Canis lupus familiaris: one gene and its partner. The protein of the gene in region 1 interacts with the protein of each later gene in a biochemical or structural test. Links are inferred from orthologs where the notes say so. Each region holds a gene or a part of one and is shown in the gene's direction. Other genes may lie near its edges.

The links.
Region 2: the proteins of KLF4 (region 1) and HDAC2 form a complex in vitro, tested with the Homo sapiens proteins (2 studies listed by BioGRID). The link is inferred for Canis lupus familiaris from reciprocal best matches to the Homo sapiens genes KLF4 and HDAC2.

The regions. Positions count from the first base shown.
Region 1 is NC_049232.1:63,260,213-63,264,316, reverse strand, and holds the start of KLF4 (Krueppel-like factor 4), read left to right. Parts: upstream 1-1,254; 5' UTR 1,255-1,642; coding exon 1,643-1,647; intron 1,648-1,764; coding exon 1,765-1,885; intron 1,886-2,481; coding exon 2,482-3,493; intron 3,494-3,597; coding exon 3,598-3,762; intron 3,763-4,104. UniProt on the Homo sapiens protein: Transcription factor; can act both as activator and as repressor. Binds the 5'-CACCC-3' core sequence. Binds to the promoter region of its own gene and can activate its own transcription.
Region 2 is NC_049233.1:70,457,059-70,460,149, reverse strand, and holds part of HDAC2 (histone deacetylase 2), read left to right. Parts: intron 1-382; coding exon 383-523; intron 524-746; coding exon 747-855; intron 856-1,679; coding exon 1,680-1,810; intron 1,811-2,877; coding exon 2,878-3,033; intron 3,034-3,091. UniProt on the Homo sapiens protein: Histone deacetylase that catalyzes the deacetylation of lysine residues on the N-terminal part of the core histones (H2A, H2B, H3 and H4).

The DNA.
Region 1 (4,104 bases):
CCCGGCGGGCGGGAACGGCCGCCCGAGCCCGTCGGGCCCCTTTCGGGAAGCGGGGTCCCGCCGCGCGGCTCCACGTCCTGGCACGTGGCCGCTCTCCAGCGAAGCGCCCCTGGGGGGGGGGGGCGGGCGCTCGGCCCTCGGACCCGCGCCACGGAGCGCGCGCCCCGCAGACCTTTATCTCGCCGCTGCCCCCCTTTATGACTCAGTGTCCCCATCCGTAGAGCGGAAAGAGGGTGCGAGGCGTAGAGCGCTTGAGCTCCGCGGGCTGGAAGGCGTCCGCCGCGGCGCATCGGCCTGGAGCCCGCGCGCCCGCAACCCCGCGTCCCGCCCCGGGCGGCCTCCCTCCGGCTCCCACTGCCGCCGCAGCGCCGGGCGGCCACGGCGAGCCCCGCGGGTCCAGGCCCGGGGCCCGGCAGGGCCGCTGCGCGCACAGGGGAGGGACGGACGGCCGCGTGAGTCACGCGGATAATCGCGCTTCTCTCCAGCGCGCAGACTGCGCGGCGAGCGCGGCCGGAGCGGGGGTGGGGGCGGGGCGCGGAGGCCGCACCGACCCCTCCGCCCCCGGCGGGCCCCTCGGCCACGGGCTTCGGCCCCGCAGAGCGGGCCGCGGCGACGCACAGCTCCCCGGCAGCCCGCGCCCCGCGCCCCGCGCCTCGCGCCCCGCGCCCCGCGCCCGGGCAGCCGCCGCCGCCGCCGCCGCCGCCGCCGCCGCCGGCGTCAGCGCGGCTCCTGCCCGCCAGCTGCCGGGCTGGCGTCACGGCTCGGCCCGGCCCCGCCCGCGCCCCTCCCTCTCCCCCGCCCCCACGTGCGCCGAGTTTGTTTATTTAGCTGCCATGGCAACGCGCGGGGGGGCCGCGGAGGGAGGGGAGAAGAAAGGGAGGGGCGGGGCCTGGCGGCGGGCCGCGGCGCACCGCGGGGAGGAGGCGGGGTAGGGCGGGAGCCGAGAAGTTAAGTAAGGAGCGCGCGGCGGCCGCCGGCAGTTCCCCGGCCCGAGAGAGCGAGCGCGGCTGCGGGCGCGCGGGGAGCAGAGGCGGCGGCGGGCGGCGGCGGCCCCGGGAGCCGCCAAGCGCCCCTCCCCGCCCCTCCGGCCCCCCACCCACCCACCGCCCGCGGCCAGCGCCCATGGCCGCGCGCGCCCCGCTCGGCCCCCCGGACTCCGCGCGCCGCGCCGCCGCCCCGTCCGCAGCCCCGCGCCACCGCGGCCAGTCTCACCTGGCGGCGCCGCCCGCCCGCCAGCCCGGCCGCGGCCCCCGCGCCCACGGCGACCGCCGCGGCCCCCGCGACCGCGACCGCGACCGCGACAGCGACAGCGACAGCAGCGGTGGAGGACGCCGCTGAGTCGGAGGGAGCGCAGCGCAGCTCGGCCACGGACCTACTTACGCGCCTCGGCTCATCGTCTGCTTTTACGAGTTTACAACTTTTCTAAGAACTTTTGTGTACAGAGGAACTTTCCAAAAAAAAAGCAAGCAAGCAAGCAAAAGGCATCTCCCGTTTATATTTAATCCAAAGGAGGATCTCGGGCAGTTTGGGGTTTTTGGTTTTGGCTTCGTCTTTTTTTTTTTTTTTCTCCTCTTCGTTGACTTTGGGGTTTGGGTACCCCCACTGCTTCGGACTCCCGAGGACCTTCCGGGCCCCCACATTAATGAGGTAGGTGCGGCGCGGGGCGCAGGGAGGGGCGACGGCCGCGGACCCGGGGGCCGCGCCTGGGCGGCGTCGGAGCGCGGCCCCCTGACCCCCGCCTCTGCGCCCCACCCCGGCCCGCAGGCAGCCACCTGGCGAGTCTGACATGGCTGTCAGCGACGCTCTGCTCCCGTCCTTCTCCACGTTCGCGTCCGGCCCGGCGGGAAGGGAGAAGACCCTGCGTCCAGCAGGTGCCCCGAATAACGTGAGTGTGGCCCCGAAAGGGCAGGAGCGTCCGGGGGGCTTCTGCGGCTGCGGTGGGGACGGGCGGAGCCTCGGGGTCACCGGGAGGCGCCCGGCGCGGGCAAGGAGCGGCCACCGCACGGGCCCGGGCCCCGCCGCGCTCCCGGGGTGGCCTCCGCGCCCTCGGCCCCGCGTACGTGCGTGTGGTCCGGCCGCCGCGGAGCCGCCGGGGGCGCGCCCCGGGCCGGCACACGTCTCCGAGCGCTGGCGGCAGGGCCGGCGCGGGGGCCACTGGCCGGGAGGCGGATGCGTCCGCGGACGCCGCCCGGGCCCGAGCGAGCCTGGCGCGTGGGCGGGGGCTGCTGGCGGGGGCTGCTGGCGGGGGCGCAGGCGGAGCCCCTCGGCGACCCCGGGATCCGGCCGGGAGGACCCGGGCTGCCGAGCCCGAGGCGCCGGCTCACACGCAGTCGGGCGGACACACGCCCACACCCTCCAGGCGGACGCACCGCCTCCCCGCGGGGCCCGGGGCCGGGCCGGGACTGCAGCGCGGGCCCCCGCAGCCGCTCCCCGCCGGCCCGGCCCCGCACCGACGGCCCCTCTCCCGTCCTGTGCCCGCAGCGCTGGCGGGAGGAGCTCTCGCACATGAAGCGACTTCCCCCGGTGCTCCCCGGCCGCCCCTACGACCTGGCGGCGGCGACCGTGGCCCCCGACCTGGAAGGCGGCGGAGTCGGCGCGGCCTGTGGCGGCAGCAACCCCGCTCTGCTACCCCGGAGGGAGACGGAGGAGTTCAACGACCTCCTGGACCTGGACTTCATCCTCTCCAACTCGCTGTCCCACCCGGAGTCCGTGGCCGCCACCGTGTCCTCGTCGGCGTCGGCCTCGTCGTCGTCCTCGCCGTCGAGCAGCGGTGCGGCCAGTGCACCCTCCACCTGCAGCTTCAGCTACCCGATCCGGGCCGGGGGGGACCCGGGCGTGGCGCCGGGCGGCGGCGGTGGCGGTGGCGGCGGCGGCGGCGGCGGCCTCCTCTACAGCCGGGAGCCCGTGCCCCCTCCCACGGCCCCCTTCAACCTGGCGGACATCAACGACGTGAGCCCCTCGGGCGGCTTCGTGGCTGAGCTCCTTCGGCCCGAGTTGGACCCAGTGTACATTCCGCCGCAGCAGCCGCAGCCGCCAGGTGGCGGGCTGATGGGCAAGTTCGTGCTGAAGGCGTCGCTGAGCGCCCCCGGCAGCGAGTACGGCAGCCCGTCGGTCATCAGTGTTAGCAAGGGCAGCCCGGATGGCAGCCACCCGGTGGTCGTGGCGCCCTACAGCGGCGGCCCGCCGCGCATGTGCCCCAAGATCAAGCAGGAGGCGGTCTCGTCGTGCACGGTCGGCCGGCCCCTGGAGGCCCACTTGGGCACCGGACCCCCTCTCAGCAACGGCCACCGGCCGCCAGCGCACGACTTCCCCCTGGGGCGGCAGCTCCCCAGCAGGACTACCCCGACCCTGGGTGCCGAGGAACTGCTGAGCAGCAGGGACTGTCACCCCGCCCTACCACTCCCCCCGGGCTTTCACCCCCACCCCGGGCCCAACTACCCGCCCTTTTTGCCAGACCAGATGCAGCCACAGGTCCCACCGCTCCATTACCAAGGTCAGTCCTGGGGATCCGTATAGCTCGGGGGCTGGGGAGCCCTGCGTCAGCCGGCCCTCCGGGGGCTCAGGGGACGATGCTCACCCCACCTTCTCCACCCCTAGAGCTCATGCCTCCTGGTTCCTGCATGCCGGAGGAGCCGAAACCAAAGAGGGGGAGAAGGTCATGGCCCCGGAAAAGGACAGCCACTCACACTTGTGATTATGCGGGCTGCGGCAAAACCTACACGAAGAGTTCTCATCTCAAGGCACACCTGCGAACCCACACAGGTAGGAGAACAGAAGCTGCCAAAGGGGCGCGCGGGGGGGGGGGGGGGTGTCAGTGTGCAGGCCAACTGGGCACTTCTCAGGGGCTCCCTTGGGATGTGGGGTGCAGCTTATCTCCTCCATCTCCTGGATCACAGGACAGAACAGAACAGCAAAGCAAACTGGCGCCTCCTTTTTTGCCCAAGAGCCCTTTGCTTGATGGATGGTATCGGTGCTTGAACGTGCGCAGTTCTGTTAGGCTTTTGAAAGGCAGGGAGATTCCAGGCTGCATTTGGGCCTCTCATACCTGGTTTGAGCGAGCCACTGCCCTTGTTATCAAGAAATGACACTTTGCGCGGGCCCCTG
Region 2 (3,091 bases), on another chromosome or scaffold:
TCAAGTTTCTACACGTAGAAATTTGTTGAAGTGTTCCTCATGTAATAGGTAGTAATTTTATAATCTTAGCTAAGATTATCCATGGATATCTGCATAAAGTTCTGTTCATATTTTTAATCTTAATGGTATAATTTGCTTTTCTGTCAGGGACACTTGTTAAAATAGCCAATTGTATCTGAGTTGTATATATCATTGTATGAAAGGTATTTGATTAAAAAATCTTAGACTAAAAATTCCTTGAAATTTTTGCATATTCTTTAAATACTTAGAAAAGCCATTTTGGTTTATGTAAAACTGTTTGCATTTATTATCTTTTTAAAACTTATTTTTCAAACTGCTAAAATATTTAGATTTGCTGTTAGCCAAATCTTTTTTGTCTCAGGTCATGCTAAATGTGTAGAAGTTGTGAAAACTTTCAATTTACCATTACTGATGCTTGGGGGAGGTGGATACACAATTCGTAATGTTGCTCGATGTTGGACGTACGAGACTGCGGTTGCCCTTGATTGTGAGATTCCCAACGGTAAGCATTCTTATTAAGACCCATACGTACAAATGTGGGTGGGTGGATGATGAGCTTCTAGAGCCATGTGAACAGGAGAGCAGTCACTAAATAAATGCCCTTTGTGTTCACTTTTAAACGTTTTCTTGGGGAATGTTTCACAGCTTGAATCTGGGTTTTGTGCGTGGATTTGTGTGGAAAACTGAGCTTTTAATATGTTACTTTATTTTATTGTTTTTAATAGAACTGCCATATAATGATTACTTTGAGTATTTTGGCCCGGACTTCAAACTGCATATTAGTCCTTCAAATATGACAAACCAGAACACTCCAGAATATATGGAAAAGATAAAGTAAGAGACCATTGAGTTAATTTGATAAATATTTCATCTTTATTTTTATATATCAGATGTTTCCTTTGTCTTTTTCAGAAGCATTTTTGAAACGTTAAGATGACTGATTTCTTTTAATTTTTTTGAGATCATGAAAACGTATGTGCTTCGTAGCTCAAAAATATTTCCATTTTCTACCAAAATGGATTTTTAAATTTCAAAAGGCACTGTAAATTGTATACTTTTTTGCCTTACGAAAAAATGAAATTTTCCTTTTTGAAACATTTTGGTAGGAGCACCTGGGTGGTTCAGGGGTTGAGCGTGTGTCTTTGGCTCAGGGCACGATCCCGGGGTCCTAGGATTGAGTCCCACGTCGGACTCCCTGCGTAGAACCTGTTTCTCCCTCTGCCTGTGTCTCTGCCTCTCTCTGTGTGTTTCTTACGAATAAATAAAAATAAAATCTTTAAAAAAAAAAAAAAAGAAACTTTTTGGTAGAACTTTATCTCCATGAACAAAGTGTTTAGAGATCTGTTGTGCTATACAGACCCAAGTTTGTGTCTTTTCTCTGCCAACACACTAATTTTTGTGACATTTGGCAGGTTAATTTGCCTTTAGGCTTATATTTTCTCATTTTTGAAATGGGGGATGAAATAGTATCTGTGTTGTAAATTTTGAGGATTAAATGGGTTAATGATAGTCTGAATGTCATGCTTTTATATTATTATTTAACTCATAGGTTTTAAGTCAGGTAAAAGATGAAATGTTTGCTTAATATTTCCTCTTACATTTAAGAGGAACATGAAAAGAAATGAATTTTATCTAATAAATTTGCATGTGTAATTTAGACAGCGTTTATTTGAAAATTTACGCATGTTACCTCATGCACCTGGCGTCCAGATGCAAGCAATCCCAGAAGACGCTGTTCATGAAGACAGTGGAGATGAAGATGGAGAAGATCCAGACAAGAGAATTTCTAGTAAGATAATGCCTTGATGTGTATTGTTACATTCAACTTTCTTATGTCTTAAAACCTGATTTGAATGTCAGTGTTTTTAGTTCATGTGACTCTGTGTGATCAAGGGGGTGCCTGGGTGGCTCAATCGGTTGAGTATCTGACCTCTTGATTTTGGCCCAGGTCATGATCTCAGGGTTGTGAGACCAAGCCCCACACTGGCTGTGGAGTCTGCTTGGGATCCTCTCTCCCTCCCACCACCACCCCCCCTGGCCCCCACTCCCCATCCATGTGCATACATGTAAACATGCTTTCTCAAAAAAAAAAAAAAAAAAAAATCCTGTATATTTGGGAATGAAATGAAAAGTAATACCATTTATCCAAAGTAGGATGAGTTGACTAACATCAAGCACCTTCCGTTTGAGTCTCTAGCCTCCCATTCCACTTAATATTGCCTGCTAGAGTTCTAGCACAATGGTATGCTATTGTGGTGTAGACCTTCTAACATACTTGGTAGTAATGATATTTTTAATATTGTCTATGTCTCATTTTAGCTGTAAAACGAATGGTTAGGGATCCCTGGGTGGCTCAGCGGTTTAGCGCCCGCCTTTGTTCCAGGGCGCGATCCTGGAGTCCTGGGATCGAGTCCCGCATCGGGCTCCCGGCATGGAGCCTGCTTCTCCCTCCTCCTGTGTCTCTGCCTCTCTCTCTCTCTCTCTATGTCTATAATTAATAAATAAATAAATAAATAATAAATATTTAAAAATAAATAAAATGAACGGTTAGTCCTTTGAAAAAGACGTTATCCCCACCTCCTAGTAGTAAAACATAGTTTTCCCCTCCAAATTTTTCTTGGTGAGATCCCCAAATGTTTTTCATGTTGCTTTGAATTATTTCTTCCTAGCCTCCGATCTAAATTTTCAGTATTGAACAAACCATGCATTCAGTTCTAATCTTAAAAATATTAAGTATCTGTTACCCTGTACTTTTAGATGTAGAAATTGGTTGGTGCATTTGTACCTGAGTGTGCTAACAACAATTAAACCTCTGACCGTCTTTGTCAACTTTTCTTAAAATCCTTATATAATCAGTTCGAGCATCAGACAAACGGATAGCTTGTGATGAAGAATTCTCAGATTCTGAGGATGAAGGTGAAGGAGGACGTAGAAATGTGGCCGATCATAAGAAAGGAGCAAAGAAAGCTAGAATTGAAGAAGACAAGAAGGAAACAGAGGACAAAAAAGCAGGTCAGATTTATTTCTTGTTAAATATAAGTTTTAAAAATGAGCTTCACTTCAACTTTTT